Schizosaccharomyces pombe: one gene and its partner. Changing the gene in region 2 together with the main gene of any one other region gives a genetic interaction. Each region holds a gene or a part of one and is shown on either strand. Other genes may lie near its edges.

Region 1 (15,370 bases), on a different chromosome or scaffold from region 2:
ATGGTTCTTGTATAAAGCTACCTGTAGACCAGAATAGAATTATTCTAATCGAAGGTTACTATCTTCTTCTTCCCGAATTGCTGCCCTACTATACGTCTAAAATTTTTGTATATGAAGATGCAGATACTCGTTTGGAACGCTGCGTTTTACAGAGGGTCAAAGCAGAAAAAGGAGACTTAACCAAAGTTTTGAACGATGTAAGGGTTTTTCTTCTAGGTTTATTCTAATTTCTTTTAGTTTGTAACTTTGTCTAAACCTGCATACGACTCTTCGATTCATCCAGTATGTTAAACTCTTATTTGCTGTTGTATACTAATTATTGGAAGACTCGAGAGAACGCTGATATTATACTCCCTCAAAAAGAAAACATTGACACAGCCCTACTTTTTGTAAGCCAACATCTTCAAGATATCCTCGCGGAAATGAACAAAACAAGTTCATCAAATACGGTGAAATATGATACTCAGCATGAAACATATATGAAGTTGGCGCATGAAATGGTAAGCTCAATTTCCTACATATTAACAACTAAAAGTCCTAAATTTAGGCCCGTACTTCGTTATCCAACCGAGAAGTCCCGGTAGTTGCGTCTTTGTATATAAAGGAGAAGTAATAGGCCGTGGTTTTAATGAAACTAACTGCAGCCTCTCGGTAAGCCTTATTTTAATATGCCTTTGCTGACGATGATAAAGGGGATTCGACATGCTGAACTTATCGCTATAGAAAAAATTTTAGAACACTACCCAGCATCTGTTTTCAAAGAAACCACTTTATACGTGACTGTTGAACCGTGTCTAATGTGTGCTGCTGCATTAAAACAGCTTCACATAAAAGCCGTGTATTTTGGATGCGGCAACGATAGGTTTGGCGGATGTGGAAGCGTATTTTCCATTAACAAGGAGTATGTGAATTTATCAGTTCGTTTTTGCTTACGATTTATGACAGCCAATCTATTGATCCGAGCTATCCAGTTTATCCAGGGTTATTTTACTCTGAAGCTGTGATGTTAATGCGCGAATTTTACGTTCAAGAAAATGTAAAAGCACCAGTGCCACAAAGTAAAAAACAACGAGTATTGAAGCGCGAAGTTAAAAGTTTGGATTTATCTCGTTTCAAATAATTATATTAGAAGTCTAATTTTCTGTGGTTTCAGGTAGGGTTATAATAAAGGTTCTTAGGTCGATGCGTCAGTATCAATCATGTTGGTTGAATATGTTGAATAATATTTACTGTTTTTTATATATTTCTATATCAGAATAAATTGTAGTGTAATATTTGATGAGAAATCACAAATCCACCTAATTTTTTTCAATATACAAAATAAAGCAAGATGTTTTAAAGAATCAGAAAACTATAATTTGCAAGAATAATGGAAATTTATTATCCAAGTAATATTAGGCTAATCATTTTACTTATTTTACTTCTTCTTAGAGACACCAACGGTCTTACCGCGACGTCCAGTAGTCTTAGTGTGTTGACCACGAACACGAAGGTCGAGAGCGTGACGAAGACCACGGTGGGTTTGGATCTTCTTAAGGCGCTCAAGATCCTCACGAAGCTTACTGTCAACATTGTTGGCAAGTAATTGGAATGACTTGCCATCGTTGATATCCTTTTGACGGTTAAGGAACCAAGAAGGAATCTTGAACTGGGAAGGGTTTTGAATAATGGTAACAATACGCTCCAACTCTTCAGTGGTAAGCTCACCAGCACGCTTAGACATGTCAATATCGGCCTTCTTGCAAACAATGTTGGCATAACGGCGACCAACACCCTTGATTTGGGTCATGGCAAACATGACCTTTACCTTGCCATCAACGTTAGTGTTGAGGAGACGGAGAATGTGTTGAAACTATAATGTTAATATCACATCAGAGGAAAACGAATTATTTTAATAATTTCACACTTGAGTATCTTTGCCCAAAAAAGCTGCTATAAAAATGCAATTTAAACGCAATAATAATAGGGAAAGGTGTTGAAACAGAAATTATAATATTTACTTACATTATCAGGAACAACGAGAGACATTTTCCGGAAGCTGCTGGTAAGTACAAAAGTATATCAACTAGAACAAGCCCAAACACTGAAGCACTCTCAAAAAGCAGTCACCGTGGTATATATATTACAATAAAAGAGTATCATAATATAATTATAAATAATTGATTATTACGAGCAATAGCGAAGTAAACAAGTTAATGTCTGGAAGTAATACTTCTTTTCGAACAATAACTCTGCTTTGTTCGGAAAGACCATGTCACGCCTTTTACGAACTTTGGTTTGGTATTCTACAAAGTTTATTTTTAAATAAACTCTTAGTTTGATACTCCAACATGCTTTTTCTGCTTTACTTTCATTTGGAATCTATTCTATACATTTGAGAAAGTATAAGGGAAAAATTGAATCTATGGCTGGTTTATTTCAACTTCAATATAGTGGTATTTGGCGCGAATTAAACATTCAGGAGTGACGAGTTCAAGTGTTATGAAATCCTTTGTTTTTAGGTACTTGATCCAGTGCCTCCTGTTTTAATAGTGTTTGAACACCACGATGCTTTAGTAAGATATATGCATAAGAGCACTATAACACTATTATCGACATCTAATTTTTCTACTTAAGTTTATTGCGGAGGCCAAAGTATATCGGTGAAAAAACTCACATCAAATAAATTATATTACGTTGTGAGAGTTTCTTCATTATAAATTAGCCTCCAGTTTCTTGTACTTTCATTCAGAAGCAACATAACGCAGCAAATCGGCTAATACTAACTGAGTCCTTTTGATTATATTAATGTGCTGCCAACGTTTTCGATTCCATTTTCGTGCGCTTGAAGAGTCTTTAAAGTATGAAAAGAAATCCTTGTACAAGTAACTTACTGATCTGGAACGTGGCTGAATTTAAGTCGTCTGACATGCTTGATTAATGAACCGACAGTATGATTTGTTGTACCGCTTTGCATATCTCAATCAGGTGAGCTCACAAGTCAGGAAAATAAAAGAAGGATCGTACGTTGCAACTTTTCGGATGAATACTCCTTTAAGACCAAAGTTGAAAGAAATGGGGGCTAGGCGATTTCGGGCAGCATTCATCAGAATGGTTTGTGAAGAAACAATATAAATAAATTTCTTTGTTCCCTGTTTCGCGTATGCTTTTCCCAGCTGCTTTCGTTACTTTGCAGAACTTGGTATTACACTTGGTTAGCAATGCCTGATAGTAACCCGCGGTTAGGCTAAATAATGGATTTGAGTTTCTGTTTCCAGACCGTACACTTTTAATGTCCGACTTGATTTTTTTTTTTTTTTTGAATCTGAAGTGAAACAACTTCTCCAGAAAGTTGTTCGATTCCCGATAGTTTCGCAACTACAGCTATAGGATTTTATGGAACTAGCCAATATATCTCTCTAATTATAAGGATTCGCAAAATATATCTACTGGGTCCTAAAAAAAGAATAATTGGGGTGGATTTTCGCTTTTGAAAGGATAATATTGACAAAACTAGCTTTTCATCAACCCGAAAAAATACTATTTGCCGACTAAATTATACTGTCAAGGAAACTGGATAACTGCCTTTCAAACATGATTCAAATAGTTCTATTTACTGGGAAAACCGGAGCTGTAGAATTCTATTAAGGGAAATCGAGGTTTGTTAATGTTGCAAGGAGCACATGGGCGTCATGTTGCTGTTGCAATTTCAAACTGTAATATGTACTCCCATATTAACAGGGAAAAAATACATTTAAGGGAACCATTAAAACCCCCTTTTTTTTGTAGACACTGCAGTAGGAGTTGTTTTACGCTCAAAACCTGTGTTTGTATTCTATAACTATTACTGAGGATACGAAGACTTAACAAGGAAATTGTTTTTACTTTGGAGAGCGTATACTCAACAAACCACTGGTTACATGGCTAATATTTAGTAAAAAAAAATAACATTTAATGAAGATCCCTTATAAAGAGCCTAAGTTATTTCGTAATGGAGATGGAAATTCATTTGCACCATGCTTAGAATTTTGCGAAGTATCGATTTGCCGTTCTACGACGGCGGTAAAAGGTGGTATCGAGGAATGGCATATTTAGTTTAAAAGTAATTACGATTCCGTTTAATGTCTCTTACAGTAATTTCATACAATTGTGTTAAACCATTCTTCTCCACCAAATTAAGCATCGATTTATTAACTATTGGATTGATATGCCATGTGCTTTTTGACTGCCTATAGCATTCGAAACGAGAATTGCATAAAGAAGAATAGCATCGAATGAAAAATAGCTAATTAAATGCTATTAAACTCAAATTGAAAAGCAAATAAAAATTGCCATGCATTGACTGTATTGTTGCTAAAAAAAAAAAAACAACTAATCTAAGGGAAAGCTATACCACCGAGCTGTTTAAACTGGTGCGCTGCAGCAAGTTTTCTATTTTAGTATACGGCGAGAAATTGATAGTTGAATGTTCTGGACAACCGACGTTCACAGGACATAAAACAAAAATGTAGGGCTGCTAGTCGTTTCCCAATCTTATTCCATCAAAACAACAAAATATGTATTCCACAGGTTGCATTGATTTTTTTCGGTAAATCCTTTACTAAAATGGAATGACTTTCGGTAAAATAAAATAGGGTACCGGGAAATGATATGTTATCTTAACATTTTGAATGAGACCGACTAACAGGAATATTTTTTAATTTTGTCAGAATCGAGAAATTTAGGCAGAAATAAAAGCACGATATTTGACTTTTTCATGATTGATTCAAAATACAAGACTTTTTCTCCGAGATAAGAGATAAAGCATTTGGGTCATTAAGATGAAGTGGTAAAAGCCATAAGGAAAATGGTTTTTGGTTTTAATTATAGCATATTTAGACAAACGGCCTTCGGGTATTCTAGCACCACTGCCTCTTTTTTTGCTAACAGGAAAAATTAGCTTAAATCTAAAAACCTTAAGCTGTTTGCCCACATTTATCCTGAAATCGTGCTGAAACAAATGGTATTTATTTGGATTAAGTTCAACACTTTACAGAAGCGCAATCCTAAAAATGGTGGAATAGATAGACTGTCTTGGATGGGTTAACGAGGTCAGTTCGTCGAAGGGTTCGCTAAAGCGTAGATTAAGAAGTTAATTCGGTAGTATGCTATCGCTACGGTACAGAACTGAATTTAAGGTCAGCCAGAGTTGCATGTATCCCGTGCTAGCCGAAAAAAAGTAATCCGTACTTAACATTCGAAAATTTCGTTAGTCATTTTGTCTTGAAGCTGGGAGTATTCTGCACATTCCATTTAATATGGGGGGTTTTGGTTTGAAGCTCGGTTCTACCGATGTTTAGACGGGCCGATAATGCGAAGAAAAAATAATGATGTTTTCCGTTAAAACTGTTTTCAGATATCAACAAAAAAAATGTTTTCTGACAGAAAACAAAGAATCTGTTAAGAGATAAAGCCATACTTTTGGTAGACCATGTAAGACGGGGTATGTAATACGGGGTAGTACGAATAGATGTAAGACAAAGCTGTGCATAATTCGATTTGTCGCTTACACGGGTATATATGGACAAACATCATATAGTGCACAAAATAAACAAATGTGTGTTTTCTTATACATGGAGCCACGGAAAGTTCCGAGACAGATGCCCTTTTACGGGCTTCAAGTACCGATACGGCAAAAGTCCATAATCAAAGTCCTTTATGTCCCACTAGCTTGATTAAGCTAATTCGGCATACCCCAGGTAAGGAGGAAGAAAGGAAGGAAGGACAAGGTAAGCAGTCGCTGCACACGTCAATTTCGTGAGTCAGCACTACTGAGGCTGTCCATTAAAACAAAGGTAAAGGGACGGCGGACAGAGATGGATTGTGGCGATGATGTTTTTTGATTTCCAAAATTCTCACTGTTTCCATGAGTCATGGCATGCATTCACATCATCGTTGACTCTCCTCTCTACTCACTGACTAACAGTTTAAAACATGTTGCCCCAATCGTAACACTTAACGACCGATTAAAAATGATGAGAATTTGTCAAGTTCATCGTTCAACCCTAGTTTCCCCCAATTCCTTCCCGTACTCCTAAGCAATCATGTAGAGAGGTAGATGAGAAACATCGAATGGTTTGCCTTTTCGTAACAAGTGCTGAAAATGATAGGCGGATGCAGTGTTAGCACGAGTGTAGACGACTTTGAATGAGTGGTATAAGCAATAACGAGGCTCAAGTCAATATTCAGCCTCCTCGCGAATGGTTGCGCACGTAAACTATATCGCAACGAAAGTATGTCAGTCGCCAGATAGGACTACTCCTAAAGTCTAATCCAAACTACTTCGTCTAGCTATACTAAAGTATAAGCAGGTCGTAACGGTCGATTCATTGCGAAATCAAATTACTCATAAGCTACCTCTCTGGTTATTTTTTCCCAATGTACTGTATTCGTATTGTACCCCATTCTTACCGGATACATTTATTAATAGAGCAAGTTACGAAAAGCAAAATCAGAGCGAGTCTATTTTCGGACTTGTGTGTCTAAGTATAGTCAAGGAGCGGAGACAACACTCGTAATATTGTTCCTTCACGCCCTCCTCCCCCTTTCCCCTTTGAATTGAGTATCGTACACTGCATCAGTAATAGGGTCAGCGTTTCCAATTGACTGACTGGTTGAAAAGTGAAGGATTACATACGAAAATCCCTAAACGCGATCATCAGCGCATTCCGAATTTTCGTATCTTTCTATCTCTTCGATTCTTTCTTTAGCCTTGCCAAGTATTTTGGCTGGCCCATACGCTTTGCCTGACTATCGCGTCTAAAAATAAAATCCCCTTTCCAAAACCTTGGATTAGGTGCATGGGATTACTATGATTCTTTCCTAATAATTGCTAATCCCGCTTTCTTTCTATTTTTTTCTACTATTACTGCAAAGTCAGGTTTGCAATCCAAGTGGACTTTAACCATACTCAAAAGGTACCTTCTAACCTTCTTTCCATTATGTCCATCTTCCTCCTCCAATTAAAGGATTTTCCTACTTAGGGCTCATTTAATCGAGGCTATCCCACCTTTTTCATGAAAAAGTATTCGGCCTTGTGACCTCCCCTTTTCGAAAAGAGAGATGAAGAAATAGTTTAAATTACCCGAGTAGCCGAAACGGTGAATTTTCAGAATGTCTACATGAGGAACATAATGTACACTTATACGCGTTTGTATATTGAGAATTCATCGGTAATGTTGGCAAAGTGCTACGCATCTTCGGATAAACGTGAATGGAAGACATTTAGCCCCTAATTTTGGTGTACTTATGCAGGAAAAACCTATCCCTTAACAATTGCCTATGGAGGGAAAGAGAAAATTTTTTTCGTTCACTATTGGAATTTATTTTCTTTTGCATAAATATGTACAATGGTATGTTACGATGCTGGCGTCGATACTTGTCTAAGTTAGAACGCAGTGTGTATTACGAAGGTTGCATTAAATAGACGTTGCGGTTTCCTAGTTATTGCTATCCCTGTATATATATACACATATATATGTACAAAAACACGTATTTACACGCACTTATAAACGCACACAGACAACAAACAAATACCTAATTTTATAATTTCAAGTTGTTGAGACAGATTAATTTATTTATAAAACTTGGCGAGAAGATATTTTTAAACCTGACATTGAAAAGGAGGGGACAATTGTTAAAAATATAGCTTCAAAGGCAAAAATTTCTCCAAAGTGTTGATTCTTCCTCTTTCTATTTTAAAAATAGCACACAAAAACATCTAGTCATTTAATTTGTCTTTGTTCCTCTCATTTGTAAACACTTGAAAACCACCCGTTCCGGCTATCTTGTTTACTAAAAAAATTTTTTCTATTAATATCTTTAGTTTCGTCGCCCGCTTCAACCCAGAGTACAAAAACAAAAATAGCTTCCTCGTTTTTAAATCTCAACTTAGATTCGTCTAATCGACTATCAATTACGAGCACAATTGGAGAACTTTGCGCTCTTGTTTTCTCAAGCGAAAAATCTACCCTCAAGAGATCCGGTGCAGAGAAGGGAAGACAGGGATAAAAACTGTTACATAAATTCCAAGAATAAACCCCATCTGCTGTTTTCTATTTGTTCCTTATATACTTGCCCGTTTGCTCGCTCGTTTGCTCGTTTGTTTTCGTCATTCTCCCTATACCTGAATTTTGGTTAACCTCGTCGACTCTTTTTCTCTTTTCTCGTCAAACCTTACTAAATATATACAACGTCTAATATGGGGCGCAAAAAAATCTCCATTGCACCCATAACCGACGATCGTTCAAGGAGCGTAACTTTTGTCAAACGAAAACAAGGTCTCTACAAAAAGGCGTATGAACTCGCTGTGCTAGCCGATTGTGAAGTCGCCGTCACAGTCATTGATCGGAAAGGACGTTTGCACGTCTTTTGTTCCTCTGACTATCAACGTACTCTTCAACAACTCAACACTCTCAGCATATATGAGTTAAAAAACCGTTCTCATTTTTCGTCATCGCCTGTCGAAGAGTCAAGTACCGTGTCTCCAGAAACGACAACTGGTTCATTTACTCCTCTTAATAATAAGCATTTGAAGTCACAGGACCAACCTTTATCAGACTCCCAACTCGACACTGGTGATTCTCCTGCAACATCGGAAACGACTGTTCAGGACTATAATCCTCAAGTTCAGTCTTACTGTCGTCCCGAGCCTTTATCGTCTAATCACGTTCGTTCTTGTCCTCCATTTCCTCCCACACAACATCATCATCCCCATACTCGTCCTCCTCATCATCCACCTCATCCTCATTTTCATAACAATAACTATCCACCGCCCTATTGTTTCCAATCTCCTGTGTCTCCGGGTGCTACAGTTCCATTGCAACATCATTCTCCGTACCCTAGTGATAACGGCTTTCCTGGTCATCGTAGGCAAACGCACTTCGCTCCTTACTACTATCCACAAAGAGCTACGTCTCCTTCTTTGAAACAAGTTCCAACTTATCTGGGTACTCATGTACTGCAACAAGACCAGTCCACCTATGATCAGAAGGTCCTTATGCCTCCAGCAAGTTATCTTTCTTCACCTAATCAATACACCTTAAAAAATGTCTCTCCTGGTAACCCGGCTTGCCCTCCTTTTCTCTATGAACATCCAAATCCACAGCTAACGCCTGAGATGTTTGATGTTAAACAAGGCTCACCTATTCCGCCTACTGCGTATTCGGGTAGCAGTTGTGAGACTTCTCAACATACCATTGCGAATACTCCATTTTTGGCATATGATCGCTCTCCTTCCTTAACGAATCAAGAAGCTGAATCATCCTTCCAAGACGTAGCTTCCATTAGTCCACATTCACTCAGTGATGTCAAATACTAAAGAATATCATAGAAGTCAATCTCCCTTTCAAATGTCTTCATCATGTGTCCTCCCTGGATCTAATGAATCGTATACAAGTAATAATTTTAGTTGGCATACATCTCGATCAAATCCTTACAATCGTTTTCTTACTCAAACTGCATATGATTTGGAGCAATCCAAGCACCAATAGTTTACTGCCAAGCTGTGCGATGCCCATTTTTTTAATTTGACTTACATCGCATTCCAGTAAACAATTGTTAATACTAGGTCTATCAATTTATCGTTATAGTTGAATTACGCGAACGAAATTACTGACCTAGCAATAATTGAAGTTTGGAATGTTGTTCAATAAAATGGACACCTACCGATAGCTTATGGATTCAATGTGAACTACAAACCTAGCATGATTTCAGACGCTAGCAAATACAAATACCTGAACATTTCAGATGTGCCAATGGTTTAACTTTGTTAACTTCCATCTTCGGTATTTTGGATCCTCCCTGTTATGAATTCAAGATGGTGATTTTCGGTTTAAATATTTATTTGCAAACTGCGGGCAGTTTATCACTTATTTATTCAGGCACGCATTTTGTCTATTCAAGTGGACTAAGTTTTTTCGTGATTTTGTTTTAACCACCTCCTTCCACTTCATTAATTAATTCACCAACATGTAACATTCGCGGACCAACCTTTATGTTCGCATTCAAATTTTTTTTTGGAGCCGCTAATTTCTAATTAGACGTTTCTCATTCGTTTTCAAGGTTATACATGGTTTATTTTCGTGTGTTTGACTCGATTTTTTGCTAGATTTTTCACGGTTTCTCCTTTTTAATCAAGAACGTTTGACGATTCACAGAACCTTTTTCAAACCCCTAATTACAGTTTTCAACAATAACATGAGAAATTCGAACTTTCCGTGTAGTTTTACAGAGTAATGTTTAAGTGTTTGTTAGTATGTCGGTGTGTAAGTGTAGCGTAGCGATAACCGTCCAGCTTCAAAGGTAAGATGCAGGGGAGTAATGCAGCAGCTAATTTTATATGGCGGAATGAGCATGGTAGCACTCTTCAAAGAAGGTGGAATAGGAATTTGGCTTCATGCGAAATTATGTTAACAGAAACCTGAGTTTCTGTAACATATTATTATATACGTGGCTTAGGACATCCAAACAAATAAATGAAATTCTTTAGTATAAGAAGATGAAGAAGATATAAAAGATTACCAATGTTATGCAAACGATGGAACATGAATCAACCGCATAAAACTCAGTCGCTGTATCAAAAATGACCATCGTGGGATGCTGACATAGGCAATCAAGTTTCTCACTTCAAATAAATTAGAGACTGATTTGGCAAATATTTGAGAATTGATCCTCTATTTGACAAATCATTTTAACTTATTTTATGACAGACAAGTCTGTTTGTATTTTGGGAATAAAACCTCGCATTATCCAATTAAAACGTCTGTTGCGACCACCGGCTTAACTTAGAACAATTATAAAGACTTCCAGAACAAACAAAAGTAATAAATTGTCGTAAAGCGACAATTATGCAAACTTTTTACCCTGTGGGATAATTACCAAAAAGATGATCACAAGTAACGTAAGGCTATGTCTTTCAGGTACAAAACAACTGACGAAAGGTGATAAAAGTATTAAGTAGAGGCATCTGGATGCTGGGAAAACAAATTGGAAATTTCGTAGGGCAGTTTAACATTATTTAATGGGAACGAAAATAGAAAATAAAATATTGCAAAAAGAATGGCGTGGGTCTTACTAAAAGACGCAAATTAGGGATATAAGGCAATTAAACTGCAAATTTAATGCGAATAAAAACAATAGACAACGGCTTAGCAAGTGAATTTACAATACTCGGATTTAGATTTTGCGCGAAAAAGTAAATGCATTGGTCAACAGGAATGCAACCAATGCAAAAAGAATTGTCGCAACCTTGTTAAAAAAACAGAAATGTTTGTTAGACAGTTACAAAGATAGCGATAATCGAGACCAAAGTGTTCCTAAAAATTCCGATCGGAAAGTCAGTAAATCTCGCATAAGGTGGTGCAACTTTGCTGCATACAAGAAACTAGCAGCCCCTGGCCATTTCAGCTTTTTCAATTTGCTTAGAGCACAACACTAAGCAAAGAATCTCTTTCTTTTATAATAGCACAACTCCCAAATGATTATCACTTTTTCTAAAACAAATTAATTGGATACTTCTAAAGTATCCAATTGTAATAAGAAGTCTCAGAATAATCCAACAAATCATTTCAAATATCAGGACGCAGAAGCGAGCATGTAGAGAATATTATTCCATCTCAATACTCGTTTAAAAGGCAAGCGATTCAAAAGAATGGTAAGGGTAGTGGATGTTTGCATGCTGATTTGGAAGGGCTGCGGATATCCATGAGAATAAGCATCGTCTAATCTTTATAGGTATAGCAGGAAAAAGATGAACTTCTTATGAACGGTTAGCACAGAGAACGAGGGAGCGAATTTTTGATTTAAGTGATACAATGCAAGTAGTCTATAAATTTGGTCCTTTTTTAGAACTCCGATTGTCTCAAAGAGTGTAAATATACACGCGAAAACTGAAAAGGTCCGACTAAATTTTCGCAGCCTTCTCGGCTTCTTTTAACACATGGAAAGCAATTTTTTGCTTTTTATTGTTCAACAAAACCTTTTTGATCATTATATCATTTCAATTGTCTCAAATAGAATTATAGGAATCAGAGCAAGCACTAGAAAAGTCGAGTACCAATTTTTTCTAGCTTTCAAGAGCTTTCCCTCCATCATGGGTCGAACAAGTCCAAAATTTCATATAATCAATAAACACTTTTTGAGCCTTTTTAAGCGGGAAAAATGACAGTCTTAACGATCACAAAAACAAGCAAAAATTGCAAAAGTGTTTGGGATACATTTTTATAGATTTCATGGTTTCCTCGCTAATATGGTGAAAAAAAATTTTATGCTTTTCCCTACGTCAATCCAATAAAGACAATTAAACACCAGAATAGCACTGGTGTATTTTTTCTGGAATGCTGTATTTGAGACATACGAAGAGGCTTGATTAATGTAATGGTCAACGAACAAGTAAGTGTCTTTTCTCTCCTCGTGAGTGTAGTGACCGTTGAGGAATCTAATGGTGATTCAAACTTTCCAAACGAAGAAAGTTTTTAACTTATACGCTACTACACACAAGCATTACTCTCATGCCGTTCCCCCCAAACTTATAGGTGTCTCACGACTTTGAACAAAGCAGGCAAGTCACTTGCTTATAGGAATACGCTCGTATAAATAAAAGAATCTCGTTTTCCGACCCCAATTATCCCCTTCCCAATTGTGGTGTCGAGGCCTTTTTATGCACATGATCTTAATAAAGATTTAGGGGATGTGGGGTGTTATTTCGCAACTTGGTCAATGTTTTTCTAGTGTACCTCTGTTAGCGAGGTTATGTAGCCCAGCGTTTGTTATCTAGTAGCACATTTGACGTTGAGGTCGTTGTAATGATGAAACAGGACACGAACATGTACCACCGACATGCATAGCTCTTTATTTGGCTGCGACATGGGTTACCTAGGTGGGGAGTGGTACTGTTGGAACTTTATATGAATTGCAAACAGAAATTTTTCGTTGCGTTGATTCAGTTTGAGACATTACAAATTATGTGATTCGTTGGAAATGTGTAGATCCGAATTATGTATTAATGTGGCTTGCTTTTTTTCCTTATTGGTTTGATCCTGAGAAAGTGCTGAGATGGAATGACTGAACCTTGCTAGTAAAAACTAGTTTTCCGGGATCGGCAAACATGTTTTGCAATTGAAAACAAAATCTTTAGCTGTGTTAGTAATTTGCAATTAGCAACGCGCAAATCCTGCGATGAGGATAGTATGTGAGTTGCTAATTGCAACATCTGAAGCATTCTGATGTGTCCCATTTTTCCAAACCCGGATACAGGCGGCATTGAGAAACACCACAAACAAAAAATTTCCAGCAGTCGCAATGTAAACAATGACAGGGTTAGCCACATATCTGGCTATAATGGTTAACTAGCTTGTTTGATGATGAAACTAGTTGAAAATTAAAAACTGCGAAAAAAAATTCCTTACCGGGTTAACTCAATTACTCCCATACACCTTTTCCCACCAACTTAACAAAAAACCCATATCTCTCAATATGTCCGCTCCGTGAGAAGAAGTAATACTTTTTTATGCATTCGGCTAAATGCAACCCTGCCTTTTGAACATCCCAATTGGCGAGTTCTCTTCAATGTTAACCAACATATCATGGCGTCCACGACAGCACATTACGGCAAAATTCTACCACTGATTTCACACTTTCACCTACTGAATTTTTCATACCAAGTAAGCCTACAAACTAGACTATTTATCTTATAGGAAATGTATTTTCCCTGATACTCTTATCAATCAACGCCTACTGGTTTGTTTGAGCGTTTTTTCGTTCAATAATTCAACACTTTCACTACTAACAATTCACCTATGTTACAGCTTTGACTCCTTACTTTCCCTGTCTTTCGGCTGTTCCACTTTGACCATCGTAAGCCTATTTTGTCATTACTGAAGATGTCACTACACGTTACATTAACTAATGCAAACGATGTTCCGTGCTGCTTTTTTTATTTCTAGCTCTACTGTGTTGGTATTAAGTCTTAGTCTGTTTATTTCATAGTGGTCTCAACAATGAATCTGGTGTATTCGATTTATAAATTTGTGGTTCGACATTGAGTACGGATGACCCTGTATGAAATAACAGTCTCCTGAATCGCTTATGATGATCCTTATCGTGTTGTTCGACCTTTCCAATTCCGGGGTTGTTACCTTATGTCCACCTATTAGTATGATTTGCGCCAGTTCATATGATGGAATTTGCATTGGAGACAGGTTGAACGATTTTTCAGGTTATTTTGCGGACTGCTTAATAAATGGACTTTTTAAGACATGCACTCATAAAATCCTTCTAAATTCTGATTCCGTAGGTATTTGAATGATGGAATGAATGGCTTCCATGATAGCGTTGAACTTTACATGTGGTGAGTTTGATGGGCAAGAGAAATCATTTTCTACGTGTTCGTTACCTATGTGGAAATCATCAGCAAAGATTTTTTAGACCTTAGGTTATAATACCTCGGTTATTTTAGCAATTTGCACCCGATGTTTAGACCCGAAAAGGCCATCAATCAAAGGACAGTTTTCCTGCAAAAAATGACAACCATAATCCATCAGACATGTTGATTCTCCTGGAATCTTCTAAAAATAACTAATATAACATTTAATGCTAGGATTCTATATCATGTTGGCGAGGTATGGCGTCTGAAAAGAGCTGTGATATATTTACTCATTCTTTTTGAACAATATTTGTCGACGGGACTAACATTAATCCAGGCCTTTGCTGGATTTCTCCACTTTCAAATTTTCTCTTGCCTATTGTGCATTCTTCTACGTTTGAAATTTTCACTTACTCATTTGAACCTTGGTGATGAAATGATGCAACCTTTCACTACTTAGTCAGATTACCCTGGCAAACTAAAGGTATACCTGTTCTGTGTTTGGGATTTATGAGAATATTTCTTTATGTGATAGATCTACGGCGATTCGCATTTCGTTCGTTGACCTCCCCATCCACTGAATCAATTGTCTCGACCTTTGTCGCAAAAAAATTTGTAACGAAATGATGCGTTTTCACGTTGAAAGCTCGTACACACTTTTCTCTACTGTGTCAAATTAGCTGCTACCATTTGTTTGATTCATAAAATTTGCTAAATTCATTATTTTTATGTTGCATAATTTATTGCCGTTGCTGTCTGTTCAGTCCTCTAATTTTTGTTTTGTTTTTTTTGCAAAAAATTTGACGCTATCCAGCTTTAATACCTAGCTACGTAACATTCAAATTTTTTTCTGAGTTTGTAAATTAACATCTACATTTGCATTCATCAAAAAACTAGAATAACTATCAACGTCCTCCGTTGAAATGACTTTGATCTAGTGGATGCTAAACAACTTTTCTATTGAGAACTTTCTCACAAGGGAGCAAATGA
Region 2 (18,037 bases):
GATCAACGAGTTATTGCTTATTTCGGCAATCCAAAAGAAATCATTGCAGATAATGATCATATTTTTACTTCCCAAACGTGGAAAGATTTCGCACATAAATATAATTTCGTTATGAAATTTTCGTTACCATACAGACCACAAACTGATGGACAAACTGAGCGTACAAACCAAACTGTGGAGAAATTACTAAGATGTGTATGTAGCACACATCCAAATACATGGGTAGATCATATATCCCTAGTGCAACAATCTTACAACAATGCGATACATTCAGCAACTCAAATGACACCTTTTGAGATAGTACATCGCTATTCACCAGCTTTATCACCTTTAGAGTTACCTAGCTTTAGTGACAAAACTGACGAAAACTCTCAGGAAACGATCCAAGTATTTCAAACAGTTAAAGAACACTTGAATACAAACAACATAAAGATGAAAAAGTATTTCGATATGAAAATACAAGAAATTGAAGAATTTCAACCTGGAGACCTAGTTATGGTCAAAAGAACGAAAACAGGTTTTCTTCATAAATCCAATAAATTAGCACCTAGTTTTGCAGGACCGTTCTATGTGTTACAGAAGTCGGGTCCAAACAACTATGAATTGGATCTTCCAGATTCAATCAAGCACATGTTTTCATCTACTTTTCATGTTTCTCACCTAGAAAAGTATCGACATAATTCAGAACTCAATTACGCTACCATTGATGAGTCTGATATTGGAACAATTCTTCATATCCTAGAACATAAAAACAGAGAACAAGTACTCTACTTAAATGTCAAGTACATTTCGAATCTAAATCCGAGTACTATTATGTCAGGATGGACTACATTAGCTACAGCGCTACAAGCGGACAAAGCAATTGTCAATGATTATATTAAAAACAATAATCTAAATATCTGAGAACATATGACTTATCCTCAGATTTACATAGAAAATCTTGGGGAGGGCAATGTCAGCAATACTACACTACGCTATAATACACTACGTTGAGTATCACTATATGTCACATGTTCTAATTATATATCGTACCATGTATGATACGATATGGAGATTGATCTTAATGATAATCTATTAAGATCAATATTATCTGAATACTATAAATAGAGCTACTGCTGAACCTCGTTCCTCAGTTCAGTTATGAGCTATATTAGTGATAGGTAACATTATAACCCAGTTAATACAATACCTATACTCAGTTGCTACTTATACAACCTGTGTATCGTAATATAATAGATCACAAGGAAAACTCACCGCAGTTCTACGTATCCTTAAATCAGATACCAAACTGCGTAGCTTACAGGAATATTAAAAGGATCGTATTTGACGGATAGTTGTGAGTACTGGTTTATGTACTTGCTTTAGGGTATGCAATGCTAAATTATCACGTCACAATGTATCGTTAAATGAATAATAATATACGTTAGTGACATGGTAATGTCAGCTGCGCAGTTTGGTATCTGTTTAACGATACATAGAACTGAAGTGAGTTTTACTTGCGACCTACAATATAGCGGTATGCGGTATGTTAACTAACAATGTACATTTATTGGTATATAAAATCTATTAGTATCGGTCACCGATATAGCTCATAACCGAATTGAGGAATGAGGTTCAGTTGTAGCTCTATTATAATATTTGTAGTAGTGTTATCACTAACTGTCCAACATATGACATATAGTGATACTTAACGTAGTGTAGTAATGCTGACAATATTAATGTTATACTACAAAAATCGCAATGCATCGTTAAATCGCAAGCTAGATGAATGTAGTTTCATTTAAGTGTGATTTCTTATAATTCATAAGAGTGTAATTGTATTGAAATTTATTATTCAATTTGGCAAAAAATCAATATTCATTTTAAAAATTTAATATTTCGTTTGAATTTTTTAATATCAATATTAATTTTCTTTTATTTTTTTTTTATTTTTTTTTTTATTTTAAATATATATATATATATATTTTTTTTTTTTATCTATATTTATTTTTATTTTTGCTACCGTTCATTAAAATCATGTTTGTAATGTTTTTTGAATATTTTTGGTAATTATTAATTTATATAAAATATAAACAGGACGGAAAAAGTATAATAAATAAAAATGTAGCGTGAAGCAAACAATAAGAGAATTGCTTTGACTTTTTTTTCTATACGTAAAAAAGAGAGAGAAAGAAACTAAAAAAGTGTATTTTGATTACAATCAATTAATTAATCTATCTATCTTTTCATCAATAAGGATACTTTTAACCTATCCGTTTTCCTTTGTTTTAAGAAAAAAAGCAAAAAAAAAAAAAAAAAAAAAGGAATCCTTGGAATTTCTTTCTTTATCTAATAACCAAGTAATCGCAATTGTAATGGCTATGGCTGTGCAATACAATGAATTCATAATCTACCATTCCTGATGGCTTATCAGAAAACAAAACAAAGAAATCCAGCTTTGTTCGTTTTAAGCTTGATGATAACATTCAACAAAGAAATCCATCATTTTTCTTGAGTTTGCGACATCTACGCAAGCGTCAGCAATTTCTCTCAATTTTGATGAATGTCTCAGTTTTATTCATTTCACTCATTTCATTCATTTTACTCATTTTACTCTGTATGTGTTTTTTAACCAAGCTACCGAAAGAAAAACACCCTTTAACTCTAACTCGCGCTTACATGGGCTGGATGGAAAGCCTCAAATCAACATTAGCAATGATAAGCGATGCATGAAGCCTTTACAGCGCTGATTGGCTGACACTAAAAGCCTTGTCCAATGTTAAAGCAAAGGTCTATGAAAAATTGTGGAGATTATTCGTTACGGCGGCACGACGGCCAGGTGATCCAGGAATTATGACGAGGATGATAGGCTTTTACGCTATTGATTGGTTCGTTAAGGAAAAAGTTGGAAATTAAGATTGCCAGTCTTACGGAAACCGTCGGTACTGGATTGTCGGAGGAATGAGAACGAGAGGGATTGGATGGAGAGGCAAGATGGCAGGAGAATAGGGAGGAGGTCCTTTTAAAAATAGATATGGATGGGAAACGTTTCTTTGTTTAAACTTGTGCATGTTTTTATAGCAACATGGAGGATGTGCCAAAAAAGAAACAAGGGGAGCAGAGAGGACAGAGGGGAGGAATGGCGAAGAGAATACGTTTAGGTTTTTTTTTAGAACGGAACAAGTAAATATATATATTGTAGAGGATAGCCACAAGAAAAAAGAGAGAGAGAGAGAGAGATATGGAATGAAGAGAGGAGATGGAATGGAGAGAAGAGATGGAAAAGAATTCCAATGAGAATTGGAAAAGGAAATTGCAAATGCGAAAGCAAACGTTCAATTTCATTTCAATTTTAATTTTTTAAATCATTACATCTCCTTTTTTCTTTTTTCTTTTCTTTTTTTTTTCTATTCAATTCATCGTTTCAATTTTCTATTTGACTCTTAATTCAATCTTTTGTTTGCCAAGTTCTCTACTTTCGATTCATTTCATTTCGGTGGGGGATTTTTTTTTTTTTCCTTTTTTTTTTTTTTTTTAATTTGTTAATTTGCTATTCACGTTAGCCGTGTTTTACACTAGCCGGAATTCCGAAATCGACCGTCTACGTTATTTTCTTTGCATTGCCATTGTCCTTGCCTAGACTACGCTTGGATTTCTTTTTCTTTTACGCATCCTCGTTGTCCTATACTATTCCATAATTAGATGCACTGTGCTCGGTTACACTATTTTTCGTATTGTATTCTACTATCGTTTCCGTATCGCTAATGAACGAGAAGGAAACTAGCTCGTTCTACGACACAAAGCAATTTCGGTGCTTCGTTCTATTTCGGTGCTGCGTTCTATTTCGGCTCTGTGTTCTACTTCGGTAGTGTATTCTATTTTGTAAATGCTAGGCTATGGTGGAGCTCTTTGTACCGTGAGAATAACAGCTAAAACCCATCGTTTGTGTGTAGTGCACAAACGGAATCGGCAAAGTACCAGGGATGTTGTTTTTCACAATTAGGGTCAGCAATCAAGAGAGAAATGTGATTACAAAGAAAGGGGACAACGAAAATGAAAACGAGATCATGTTTGTGGCAAACAGGCGATTAACACGTCTACAAGCATGATTCTTGTCACTGTTGTGCAAAGGGGGGAAGAGAAAGAGAAAGAGAAGAAAAAAAAAAGATGCAGATATTTGTGATTCAAAAAATAATACTGCGTTAAAAGTTGACTCTGTGTAAAAGTTGACTCTACGTAAAAGCTGACTCATATTCTCTCTTCTTTTATCAAATTGGCGTTCTCTTAACTCATCCTTATCAATTTCTTACCTAAATTTTTTTTCTTACTCTTTTTTTCTCTCCCTCATTGTTTGTGCTCTTCCAATGTTTTTGCCTATACTATAACATACAATCTCTTTACCGGCCTTAACGGAGTCGTGTGAAAAAATTCTCCTTGGTCAACTTCGATAGTGACGGAGCACTTTTGTCCATCGTTAACTTCTCCAGCCCAGGTTGGATGAGTCATGTGGAAAAGAGAAAAAAAAGAAAAAAAAAGATTCCCATACCCCTTCATCGTCGCATCTCACTAAAAAATCCCTCGTAGCAACAAATCGTATGGTGGCATGTATGGAAGAGCAACAAATAGCTCACAGACTTGTTGAGAAAGGAAGAAAGCGGAAAGTCGAGAAAAATGCCAATTGAGAGAGGAGAGAAGTGTCACTACCTATCTATCTATCTTTCAAGTTATCATGAAATGCCATACAATTGTTTTACTACTGGCAAAACATCATCAATGGTCAAACGGACTCAAACAAAAAAAGAAAAGGCATCATACATTTGCATTTTCATATCATTTAGTATGTCATTTGTATCATACATATCATCTTTTCCAATATAGTTGATATTTCTTTCCCTATAGTATATGACAGGAATGTTTTTTTTTGCATCGTTGTTTTCGTCTTTTGAATCGTTGTTTTTTCGTCTTTTTTTCGTTTGTTCTTTCTTCTTTCCTCTCTTGTATTCGTTCATTTTCGCTACTTTGCATGCGTTTGTTTTTCTTTTCTCACATACATTGGTCAGTAGTCAATTCCGCCGTCTTAAACTCCCATACCATCATCATCATACATTTACCATAGAAGCATTTTTTTATTGGTTTTTTTTTTTTTTTTTTTTTTTTTCTCATTGTAGACGGTTTCACATTGCGATCTTTATTCATCCATACGATTCCAATGTCGTACCTTTCTTTTGTTTCTTTTTTTATTTTTCTTTGTTCTCTTTTTTTTCTTTTCTTTTCACTTCACTTCATTTTAATTTTTTTTTTCGCCTCTGTAGACACAAGCATCTCCTTGACATCCCTGATCAAACTACCCTCTCGTCCCTCTTACACCGACACACGAGACTACCAAGGGATGTCAGGCGTAAACACACATGCTTCCATACTTCGGTATGGTGCGACATGAGTTCATACTGCATTGCATGGCGTAGTTGATCCTTATCGCAACGAATGTCTAGATATCTTTAACTTAATATTCCACCAATCATGTATCTTATTAGCATCCATGTCCTTTATTGCATTCTCAAATGGGACGGAACATGGACCAATCAACGGCCATAACACTAGGATCTCGATTGTGCATTTCCCTTCTATCCCTGAGTGTTTGTTTCCTCAAAGCTAGATTGTCGTTAGCGATTGGTGGATGTTGATTTGTAGCTTCATGCGCTTCTCGTTCCAGACTGGCCGCTTTGGTTTGTCTGTTGGATGGATATGGTGTGCGCGCACGTCATGTTGGATGCTGCTTAATGCTATGCTGCGATCATTCGACTGGTGGATTTGGTGTATAAGACCAAGATAACTTGGCGCATGTTACAGTTTTTCAAGCCTTCGGAATTCCAGGGAAGCCAGAATTTGCCGATCCCCGTTGCCATATATCTTTAAGGGTGCGCGCTCTTCGCCGTCCTAGTAGTTTGTCTGTGTGTGAGTGCCTCGTCTTTTTGCCGAGTGTCATTTTTACTTATTTTTTTTTTTTTAATAAGTGCGAACCCGCCCCCAGGTTTTTGCTCTTTCCCTTTCCCTATACCTTTAACAAACGTTTTCGTTTGGTTTTAACGAAATTCATTTGTTTTTGGGAAACTCGCGATTTTCCTTTCCTTTCCTTTCCATTTTTATAACTACTCTACTCTATATTCTATTCATTCATTTTTTTTTGATAGAATTTAGTTGAAATTGCAGATTCGTCCTTTTGCAAACTCATTTTCTTTTTTGCAGTTTGTCTTGTCTTCTCCTTTTTCTTCCTTTCCTCTCCTTTTTTTCCCCGTCTTTTTTTTTTATTTTTCGTTGTTCAGTGTGTCTCTTGGTGAGTTTGCTGAATTACTGTTAATTTGAAAAAAGGTTTGGAATAAAGAATCTCGATTCAAGCAAAACATTCACTGCTGTTTTACGACGATTCCTTTCGTCCGGTATATTTTTTTTTATAAATTTTGTTTTTTTGGGAGATTTATATCTTTTTTGTCCTACTATAATTTCTTTTCTCTTTTTGACAAAGACTTTTTCTATCTAGTCAGTCTTTAATATTTTTTTGTCTTCTTTTCTTAAACCCAGATATCTTCTTTTGAGCATTCTTGATTGAATTTTTATATCCCAATCGATATCTGTCTCTATCATCTTATATTCTTTTTTAAACCATCGATTTTACTTTTCCCGTTGTTAAATCGATCTTTTTCTTAATCGCAAGTACTTTCAAAAAGTCTTGAAAGTTTTTTGCCTATTGAATTCTTATTTTAATACGGAATCATATTTTTTAATTCTTTCATCGGTTAATCCCACCGCTTTCATTCTTTTTTGAAACCCCATATATAAAGCATTTGCTATCGTTTTTTCAACGACGTCTATTTCTTTCTTCTTGAAATTTCGACTTGCTTTTTCTATCTCTCTTGGTATCTAATCATATATAGCTATATCTATCTTGGAACTCTTCAAACTTTAATTATATTTTTTTTTCAATTTTTCACTAATTACAATGAAGTTTTTCACTGCTTCCACTCTCTTTCTTTTGGCTGCTCAGTCCCTTAATTCGGGTGTCTCGGCGTCTTTGAGCGATCCCGCTAATACTCCAACTATTTTGGCGGATGATATAGTCCACGGTTATACCCCTGCCACTTATCTTTCTTCGGTGCCTACTCTCCTTAAGAGAGCTACCACCAGTTACAACTACAACACCAGCAGTGCTTCTAGCTCTTCTTTGACCTCAAGCTCTGCTGCTAGCTCCTCCTTGACTTCTAGTTCTTCTTTGGCTTCAAGCTCTACAAACTCTACTACTTCAGCTTCCCCAACTAGCTCGTCCTTGACTTCTAGCTCTGCTACTAGCTCTTCTTTGGCTTCTAGTTCTACTACTAGCTCCTCTTTGGCTTCTAGTTCTATTACTAGCTCCTCTTTGGCTTCTAGTTCTATTACTAGCTCCTCTTTGGCTTCCAGTTCTACTACTAGCTCCTCTTTGGCTTCTAGCTCTACAAACTCTACTACTTCCGCTACCCCTACTAGCTCTGCTACTAGCTCCAGCCTGTCCTCGACCGCTGCTTCCAACTCTGCTACTAGCTCTAGTTTGGCTTCTAGTTCTTTGAACTCGACTACCTCTGCTACCGCTACTAGCTCCAGCCTGTCCTCGACCGCTGCTTCCAACTCTGCTACTAGCTCCAGTTTGGCTTCTAGTTCTTTGAACTCGACTACCTCTGCTACCGCTACTAGCTCAAGCATAAGTTCAACCGTCTCCAGCTCTACTCCTTTGACTTCGTCGAACAGTACTACTGCGGCCACTAGCGCTTCTGCAACTTCCAGCTCCGCCCAGTACAACACCAGTTCACTTTTGCCTAGTAGCACTCCTAGCTCTACTCCTTTGAGCAGCGCCAACAGCACTACTGCCACTTCTGCTAGTTCCACTCCTTTGACCAGTGTCAACAGTACCACTACCACTTCTGCTAGCTCTACCCCTTTGAGCAGCGTGAGCAGTGCCAACAGCACTACTGCCACCTCTACTAGCTCTACTCCTCTGAGTAGCGTTAACAGCACTACTGCCACCTCTGCTAGCTCTACTCCTTTGACCAGTGTCAACAGTACCACTGCCACTTCTGCTAGTTCTACTCCTTTGACTAGTGTCAATAGCACCTCCGCCACTTCTGCTAGTTCCACTCCTTTGACCAGCGCCAACAGTACCACTAGCACTTCTGTTAGTTCCACTGCCCCCAGCTACAACACCAGCTCAGTTTTGCCTACTAGCTCAGTTAGCTCCACTCCTTTGAGCAGTGCCAATAGCACTACTGCCACCTCTGCTAGCTCTACTCCTCTGAGCAGCGTTAACAGCACTACTGCCACCTCTGCTAGCTCTACTCCTCTGAGCAGCGTTAACAGCACTACTGCCACCTCTGCTAGCTCTACTCCTTTGACCAGTGTCAACAGTACCACTGCCACTTCTGCTAGTTCTACTCCTTTGACTAGTGTCAATAGCACCTCCGCCACTTCTGCTAGTTCCACTCCTTTGACCAGCGCCAACAGTACCACTAGCACTTCTGTTAGTTCCACTGCCCCCAGCTACAACACCAGCTCAGTTTTGCCTACTAGCTCAGTTAGCTCCACTCCTTTGAGCAGTGCCAATAGCACTACTGCCACCTCTGCTAGCTCTACTCCTTTGACCAGTGTCAACAGTACCACTGCCACTTCTGCTAGTTCCACTCCCTTCGGTAACTCTACCATCACCTCTTCTGCTTCTGGCTCAACTGGTGAATTTACCAACACGAATAGTGGAAATGGGGATGTTAGTGGAAGTGTCACCACTCCTACCTCTACTCCATTGAGCAACTCCACCGTTGCTCCCACTAGCACCTTCACTTCATCAGGTTTCAACACTACTTCCGGCTTGCCAACTAGCAGTGCTTCCACTCCATTGAGCAACTCCACCGTTGCTCCTACTAGCACCTTCACTTCCTCTGGTTTCAACACTACTTCCGGCTTGCCTACTAGCAGTGCTTCCACTCCTTCAAGTAACTCTAGTATTGTACCCACTAGCACCTTCACTTCATCAGGTTTCAACACTACTTCCGGCTTGCCAACTAGCAGTGCTTCCACTCCTTTGAGCAACTCCACCGTTGCTCCTACTAGCACCTTCACTTCCTCTGGTTTCAATACTACATCCGGCTTACCCACTAGCAGTGTTTCCACTCCTTTGAGCAATTCTAGCGCTTATCCTTCAAGTGGATCTTCTACCTTTAGCAGATTGAGCTCTACTTTGACTAGCAGCATCATCCCTACTGAAACCTTTGGTTCTACTTCTGGTTCTGCAACCGGTACTCGTCCCACTGGAAGTTCCTCTCAGGGCAGTGTCGTTCCTACCACTAGTACTGGAAGCTCCGTTACTTCCACCGGTACTGGAACCACGACTGGTGTTACCGAAGTTACTGAAACTTCGACATTTGAAACTACTGAGATTATAACTTCTACCATTGAACCCACCACTGCAAGTGGAACTGGCGGCGGTAACCCAACAGCTGCTCCTACCAACGAACCAACCGTTACTACCGGAACTGAAACGACCGAGGGTACTGCTACTTACACTGAGCCTACCACATTCACCAGTACCTTCTCCTTCACTACTACCATAATCGGCGGTACTACCACCATCATCCCTGTTAACCCAGGTAACCCAAGTAGCAGTGTTAGCGCTCCTCCTACTACTAGCTTTACCCCAGGTCCAGGTGGCTCAGGATATCCTAGTTATAGCAACACTACTCAAGGTATGAACACCACTTCTATCTGGAACAGTAGCAACTCCACCATTGTATCGAATGTTACCGCTACCATTACTGGCAACGTAACAATTACCACCGGTGACCTTACTACTATCGATCCCACCACCTTCACATCTACGTACTTGAGCTCTGGTTTCCAAACTGTCAGCAACACTACCGCCACATCTGGTTCTGATGACGATGTAAAGACTGCTTCTACTTCAAGCAGCACTTCTTACACTTCTAGCTCCTCATCCAGCTCTAGTACGACGTCGGCCGCCTCCTCAAAAGCCAGCGTATCAATGGGATTGAATGGATTGATGATTGCCGCGGTAATTTTGTTGGTTGCTTAAGGTGATTTGGAATGTAAAGAATAAATACTTTTTGTGTCCATTCTGAATTTTATTTGAAAACGTATCATGGGCAGCTTCGGTCGCTTTTGATATCAAAATTGATGCAGCCTCTTTGCATCTTGCATTTTAGGTTCATGTCTTATTTGTTTCCATTATTTTTAGTTACGCCTTCATGTTGGTGATTGTTGACTTTGAATTTTGTTTTCTGGTTGGGTGTTTTCTGCTACGGGGGTTTTATGTCATGTATCTATAGAATCGGTGTTTGGCCTCAGCCGTTTTATCTCTTCTTACTTTTTCGGGTGGAATGTGGACAGGAGGATGAATGAAGTAATCAGTCAACCCCCTTGCAATATTTTTAGACCATTGATCCTGAGCATGCATTTATCCCCGGTAAGTATTTTAAGCCCTGTGTTATTGATATATTTAGTTATTCATTCCCAAAACGAATTGGTAAGTATGTCCTGGCTTTTCCGTTCTACAATTTGTTTTGGGGTTTCTCTTTTCCTTTCTTTTTTTCTAGTAAGGATTTTGTGGGGTATTGCCTACAGCTACAACAGTAATTCAATGTCCATTTATTTCTCCTATATATGAAAAATTTAGTAATGATGTGTGATTCCTCTAATGGTAGCCATATATCCGATTTTAAGCTAAGTATCTTGACCTTTTTGTCTGTATGAAATTTGACTTTAAAACCTCTACTTGATCTCTGTCCACTGAAATTGGGAAGCTGTGTTCAATAACCGTGCAGTATGATATGCTTAGCAAATCAACTCCCACAACGTGGGCTCTATATTTAGAGATGGGTTTACAAATTGCAAGGCGGAAAATAATTTAGACCGGTTACCACCAAAATTTCAACTTGATTTTACGCCATTGAATTAAAATTAGAAGCACTATGACTTAACCTGTCATATACGTCGATGATAAACGTAGCTGCAATTCAGATTTTGCCTGTGAAACACTTTTCGTTGTAATGGAATCCTGTGAAATGTACGGGAAAGGGTGGAGATTGTCGTCACGAACGCTGCGGATGCTTCATCGATGTCGTGGATTGTTCGTTTGAAACATTTGATTCATTAGAACTTCTGGATACCCGGAGGGACACTGCACACGGTTAATCAAAAATTACATAGTTGAGGTTTGAAATGTCCAAGGGGTTTATGAAATGAATTCGCCTTAGAAAAACCTTTAAAACGGATGGCGCAGGCACTTTTGTGGTGTGTTTTCCTCCATCCCATTGTGATAAATTTCGGCTTAGTTAGCTTACCTTTGGCTTATTGCACTTGCTTTTCAACACTTGGTTAGATTTTCTGTGAACTTGTACGATAGTCAAGATTCATACACTCGTGGTAACACAATCTTGAAGTGTACTCCATTAATTCAATTGCTGTTGTACTCTTTTTCATTACAGAAAGGTTGTCTACTTGTGTGCTTTTAATAGGTGCAACTTTGCTGCTTGATCAAATTCGTTTGAAACGAGAGTAGAAAGCTACTAAGCTACTAATTATCAGTCCTGTTGGGTGTGGACTTTTTTTTGGAATATCTTTAATCGATTGTTTACTTATATTTGCAATCCATCCAATCTTTTATATTCAATAGACCCATAGCACTTCGTCTGCTTTGGAAAACATTGGTTTTTGGACAAACTCCGTGAATGTTAATTTCGATAATTGTTGGCAGATAATCCTAATTCTGTGACAACTTTTAATACAGACATATTTTTCTGTGAAAAGTTTTGCTTTCTTTACTCGTCACAATTTTTTAATCTTTAGCACTTGGTTCCATTCATTATTCTTTTTCCTCGTGTGTTCGCCTTCATTTTTGAATTTTTTTGGAAAATTTTCGGTCTTTAACATATACAGCTTTCTCATTATTAGTAGAACGCTGGTTTATTTTTCGGATTGCTTCTTTCTTTATATCCGTAATTACTTTTGATCGTTTCTTTAATATCTTTTGTATTCATTCTTTCCACACCGTTTACAATCTTTAAAAGAGTTATTGAATCGATTTAATTTCAACCTGTGAAGCATTCTTCCCTTTTTTTTATATCGTAAAGGAATTGTCTGTTCTCTTCCAGCTTTAATTCTTGACATCGAATATACCATTTTAAACCTTTTTGAAGTTTTTACCTCAAATGAATCGCTTCTTTATTTCGACTCTTTTATTGCTTGCACAGCATCTTGCTCCAGCAGCAGCATCCTGCGGACTCGCAAACGAAGCTTCATTAAGTGCTAATGAGGTACAAGATATCTACCATGACTTTGTAGCAACATCCATTAATTACGCCGATCTTTTAAAAAGAAACGAAGATCTTAATGCTTCTTTGTCCACGGGATCTCCCGTCGAAATTACATCTACTAGCTGCACAACTGATACTAGTGCCTCTACTCCCATAATTACAGAAAGTACTTCAAGTACTAGCAGTGCTTCTACGACTGGCAGTAGTAGTAGCCCTCTACCCTCAACTAGCACTAGTTGCACTACTAGTACTAGTATCCCACCTACAGGAGGTAGCTCGAGCTTGAGTACTCCTATCACTCCCACTGTTCCTCCTACTAGTACTTCCAGTACTAGCATTCCAATTCCACCTACTAGTACTTCTAGTACCGACACTAACAGTAACCCTCTACCGACAACTAGCACTAGTTGCACTACTAGTACTAGTATCCCACCTACAGGAGGTAGCTCGAGCTTGAGTACTCCTATCACTCCCACTGTTCCTCCTACTAGTACTTCCAGTACTAGCATTCCAATTCCACCTACTAGTACTTCTAGTACCGACACTAACAGTAGCCCTCTACCGACAACTAGCACTAGTTGCACTACTAGTACTAGTATCCCTACAGGAGGTAGCTCGAGCTTGAGTACTCCTATCACTCCCACTGTTCCTCCTACTAGTACTTCCAGTACTAGCATTCCAATTCCACCTACTAGTACTTCTAGTACCGACACTAACAGTAGCCCTCTACCGACAACTAGCACTAGCTGCACTACCAGTACTAGTATCCCACCTACTGGAAATAGCACTACTCCCGTTACTCCTACTGTTCCCCCAACCAGTACTTCAAGCACTAGCACTCCACCTCCTCCTGCTAGTACTTCTAGTACCGGCACCAGCAGCAGCCCTCTACCCTCAACTAGCACTAGCTGCACTACCAGTACTAGCATCCCACCTACTGGAAATAGCACTACTCCCGTTACTCCTACTGTTCCCCCAACCAGTACTTCAAGCACTAGCACTCCACCTCCTCCTGCTAGTACTTCTAGTACCGGCACCAGCAGTAGCCCTCTTCTCTCAACTAGCACTAGCTGCACTACCAGTACTAGCATCCCACCTACTGGAAATAGCACTACTCCGGTTACTCCTACTGTTCCTCCAACCAGCAGTAGCACTCCTCTCACAACTACGAATTGTACTACCAGTACTAGTGTCCCTTATACCAGTACTCCTGTCACTAGCACCCCTCTCGCAACTACGAATTGTACTACCAGTACTAGTGTCCCTTATACCAGTACTCCTGTCACTAGCACCCCTCTCACAACTACGAATTGTACTACCAGTACTAGTATCCCTTATACCAGTACTCCTGTCACTAGCACCCCTCTCACAACTACGAATTGTACTACCAGTACTAGTGTCCCTTATACCAGTACTCCTGTTACCAGTTCGAACTATACTATTAGCTCCAGTACTCCTGTCACTAGCACTCCTGTCACAACTACGAATTGTACTACCAGTACTAGTGTCCTTTATACCAGTACTCCTGTCACTAGCACCCCTCTCGCAACTACGAATTGTACTACCAGTACTAGTGTCCCTTATACCAGTACTCCTGTTACCAGTTCGAACTATACTATTAGCTCCAGTACTCCTGTCACTAGCACTCCTGTCACAACTACGAATTGTACTACCAGTACTAGTGTCCTTTATACCAGTACTCCTATCACCAGTCCGAACTCTACATCTAGTTCTTCCACTCAAGTTAGTTGGAACAGCACTACACCCATCACAGGAACTTCCACTTCTAAAGTTACTAGCAGTACCTCGATTCCTTTGACGTCGACCAACCGTACCTCTACTACTTTTACTTCTTCAACCAGTATTAGTACATCTAGTAGTTCTACTGCCACTTCGTCTACCAGTTTTGCTAGCGAAAGTTCTTCATTCTATAGTAACGTTACTACTTCGAGTTCTACGGTTAGTACTCCGCCCCCAACTACTTCTTTCCCTAGTACGTTTACCACCTCGTTTATTACTAGCTCTTCGCTTAGTAGCATACCTAATAACTCTACCGAAGTTAAGACAGCTTCCACTTCTAGTGGCACTGAAATTAAAACGGCTTCCACTTCTAGCGGTAGCAGCTCGAGCTCGAGCTATACTCCTGCTTCGTCTACTTCTACTACTACTAGCAGTGTCAGTTCAAGGCAATCGTCAAGCAGCTCTTCATTCACTCCTTCTTCTGCCATTTCTACCGCAAAAAGCTCTTTCGTATTGAGTACGTTGTCAATTCTTATTGCGCTTTATATGGTCGCTTAGGTGATTGGTATGCGATGAAAATTTAACTTGTGGTTTGATGAAATATATCTGATGGTTTGTTGTTTGTATGATCGTGGTGACCGCTGAATAATATAAACTTCTCTATGTTCATTCGAATTATCGATTAGCTAAACTGAGCTCAAGGCTTTTTCATGTGCTTTTTTTGTTCTCGTTCACAGCGGTTATCGGTTATTTATTTTTTACGAGCATAACTGCATCTCAAGAATCTTTTATATTTCTGCCCGCTATGTTAGTAAAGCAGAGTATCTAAGAAACCTGACACTGTTATGGTCGTCTATTTTTTTGAATTCGTGATTCTTTAACATCTCGTAATTTCATTTCGAAATATAATGAATCTTTAGCTTATAAGAAAAGTCATGTGATTAATGTTTTCAAGTAAGTTGTAGCTAAGAATAACTAATATTGTATTGTGTAAGTTGTTAGATTATACAGTAATATTGCACTATTATGAATACGACAATGATGGAGACGTTAATTTCAAGTTGTTAAAGAAGAAGTTGGTGTAAGTTTTCCATGTGCTTGAATTATCGAGCAATTCCTAATTTAACCGTTTTCCACACCACTGTTCTTCCCATGCTAACCTAAAACTAATAAACAGTTGCCAGGGATGATAATATATTTTTTATTGCAAATTAGTATCAGCCGATGCGTTTTCTCTAAAAATGGGTTTTACCATGTATGCAATAAAATGATCAACTTGTGATGAGTGAGTTATTCTCCCTACCAAAATTTTCGTTACGATATGGAAAATTTAGAAAAAACATAGTAAAGGAAATCGTTTTGCTTTTCGAATGAATTTCGGGGGTTCAACTCTAAAATGGAACTTTTCTTTGTGGTAGTGTACACGCTATACACTCTTTTAGTCAACTGTCAAGTAATCGAATTTGGAAATATGATCTTAACATAGAGTATAATGTATTCTTTTAAGATATACGGAAATTTATTAGAACGCTGTGCATGAGAGCGTGGGAGTGTAAAATCCGGTACAGAAAACGGTTTCTCTGATGACCCATCCATTACCAATTTTATTCAGCAGGTACTAATGAAAAGCGACAGAAATTATGATTTTGGAAAAGAATAGCAGTTATGACCTACTTATCTATTAACAAATTGGTAACTCCTTATGCATCAATAATACATATGCATTCCTTACCAACACAGCTGTGAGCATATTGAATGATGGGGTGTCTAAACAAAGCAACTCGAATATCCTATTTTCAACACTATGAATGGGCGCATTCATCCCTATTCCAACAGATCTGTAAACATTAGCCTGTGAACAAATTAGTAGTGCGAATCGGAGGAATAGTTGGGCTGCAAGGAGGGTATCCCTGCTTTAAAGAGGGATTGAAGAAGAACAGGTTTTAATCCTAACTGCCAAAATATCAATCCTCCATCTATAATTGGTACTAAGCGGATTAAGCGCATACGTGCATGCGCGCAGTCGCACTTTTGTTTGAGACCTTTCCGCGCAAAATCATGTTACAGAAATGAAAGCAGAATAACACATCATGGAAGACATTTCCAAAAAAAATCCGCATTTCTACAGCTTGCATTACATTGTCTCGCTTTCCTTTCAATCACCAACCTTTTTTCATCTTGCAATGAAAATTCATAAACCGAAGTATAGCGATCAACGATATATAATTATATAATTATTGCCATCGAAATCGTTATTTAAGACATCGGCTCGCGATCTCTCCCCTTAGTGAATCCTGATCAAGGGATAAGTAAGCACAGGTATCAATCGTCCCAGGGTAACAATGATTAGCCTCTACGCACTGCTCACTCATATAAATATTGACACAGTCATCAAGAGCCACCCACGTTCATAAATTGGGTGTTTGATTAGAATATCAATTGGTTACCGTATTGTCTATGTTTTTTTAGTCGATAGATTGGGTTTTATGAAATAACGAAACGCTAATTGTATTCGAATGGTTTTACTTGTCGCACATTAGGATCAAAATCTGAATGGAGTTATAAAGTTAATGGTAATGCAAGAACGCAATTCCAACGAGGATAACAAAGTAAATCACGGAATAGACAACATTTATGTCTTGGAGTTAGATTTAGACGGATCTGTGCTGTTTGCAAGTACAAACTTCTCACAGATTACCGGGTAAGTGCAGTGGAATAGCGGGCGATGTTACGAAATTTCTCTGTGTTGTTGGCAGAAGGATACCATTGCTTGCTAGAATATTTATATTGTACATTTAATTTGTATCTTTCTTTTAACGATTCGGTTGGTATGACTTTGCAGATTACGCAAAAATAGCCATTGAATAAGGCTTCAATTGCCTTGATCTGTAAGTCATACGTATAATACTTAAATCTTCTATTTGCTGCCGACCTGTTTTAGTTCTTTTAAGCTGGATTGGCCAAGCTATGGCTGATACTCCTTGGGTCGCCTCTGTCCTTCAACTTTTGAAATCTTGCTCTTTTTCAATTTATTGCTAGGTCTTTTACTAACCAAGTTGCATAGAATTAGTTCGTTAGAACTTACTGGCAAACCTGCAGCTCTTCTGTCATCCGACCAGGAGATATTCAACGCAGCCATTGAACAGCTTCTTGACGATGACTCCCACAGTGTTAAAATTCATACCGTGATTTCGAAGCTGCCCTCCTTGGAGGAAAATGTCTTTGTTCAGGATGAGGAAATGGAGCTGCAATCAAAGTCTGTCGAATTGGATTGCGTTGGTGTCCTCATTCGTGATCCCTTAACCAGCCGACCCTCTCATACATTATGGGTTTTGCAACCTTTGAAGCCCACGCGAATCACTCGTCAGGAAATAGGCCAGCAACTCACAGAAACTCTAGGTTTTGGAGCTCAGTTACTGGCCCAACATCTTGAAAAGCTTCAAACCGTTCCTTCCACCGATAGTCTTCCTCCCTTTGAAACAGTACTTTGCAGGGTTTGCGATCATGAAATTCAAAATTGGTACTTTGAGCATCATACTGAACTTTGTCTTCTCATTCACCATGCTGAAGCACGTGCTCAAGAAGCAAATGACCTTCTTAACGAACAAAGAAATGCTTTACAAAGTTTGTTGGATTCTTTGGACGATCAGATAGAACCAGATGTATCATATTTGGGAGTTCCTCTCGCCGCCGTCCTTCCTTCCTCTATTACTTCCTCCGCGAAGTCGAATTCCCGGTCATCGTTGTCCCAAAAAATTAGAAATTACATTAGTAACATGCTGTTTGATGCCATAAGTTATACAGATAGTTGTTTAGCCATCCATTTACCTTTCATACCAGAATCCACTACCAGGGAAGACAATCAACCATTTAGTGAAATACGCTTATTATCACCAGCTAGTGAGGTTTTCAATGCAAAAACTCTTTCATGGTGCTTACCACATATTGATGACCCTGGGTTGCAATTGATG

Evidence for each region.
Region 1: of pfl2 (region 2) and mbx2, changing one suppresses a phenotype caused by changing the other (phenotypic suppression), as found in Schizosaccharomyces pombe (one study listed by BioGRID).

Annotation. Positions count from the first base shown.
Region 1 is NC_003423.3:3,618,421-3,633,790, forward strand, and holds mbx2 (MADS-box transcription factor), read left to right. Parts: upstream 1-8,218; coding exon 8,219-9,337; 3' UTR 9,338-10,238; downstream 10,239-15,370. Other genes in the region: rps1801 (40S ribosomal protein uS13), read right to left, coding at 1,418-1,852, 2,005-2,028; SPOM_SPBP8B7.32 (uncharacterized protein), read left to right, coding at 11,957-12,181. UniProt on the Schizosaccharomyces pombe protein: Acts in transcription regulation. May bind to a MEF2-like typee II promoter sequence.
Region 2 is NC_003424.3:3,979,289-3,997,325, reverse strand, and holds pfl2 (protein Pfl2), read left to right. Parts: upstream 1-5,913; 5' UTR 5,914-6,976; coding exon 6,977-10,087; 3' UTR 10,088-10,293; downstream 10,294-18,037. Other genes in the region: Tf2-5 (retrotransposable element/transposon Tf2-type), read left to right, coding at 1-903; SPOM_SPAPB15E9.06 (uncharacterized protein), read right to left, coding at 3,055-3,324; SPOM_SPAPB15E9.02C (uncharacterized protein), read left to right, coding at 4,882-5,448; SPOM_SPAPB18E9.05C (uncharacterized protein), read left to right, coding at 10,406-10,678; SPOM_SPAPB18E9.04C (uncharacterized protein), read left to right, coding at 12,222-14,624; serine/threonine protein kinase Ppk18, read left to right, coding at 16,637-16,767, 17,131-18,037.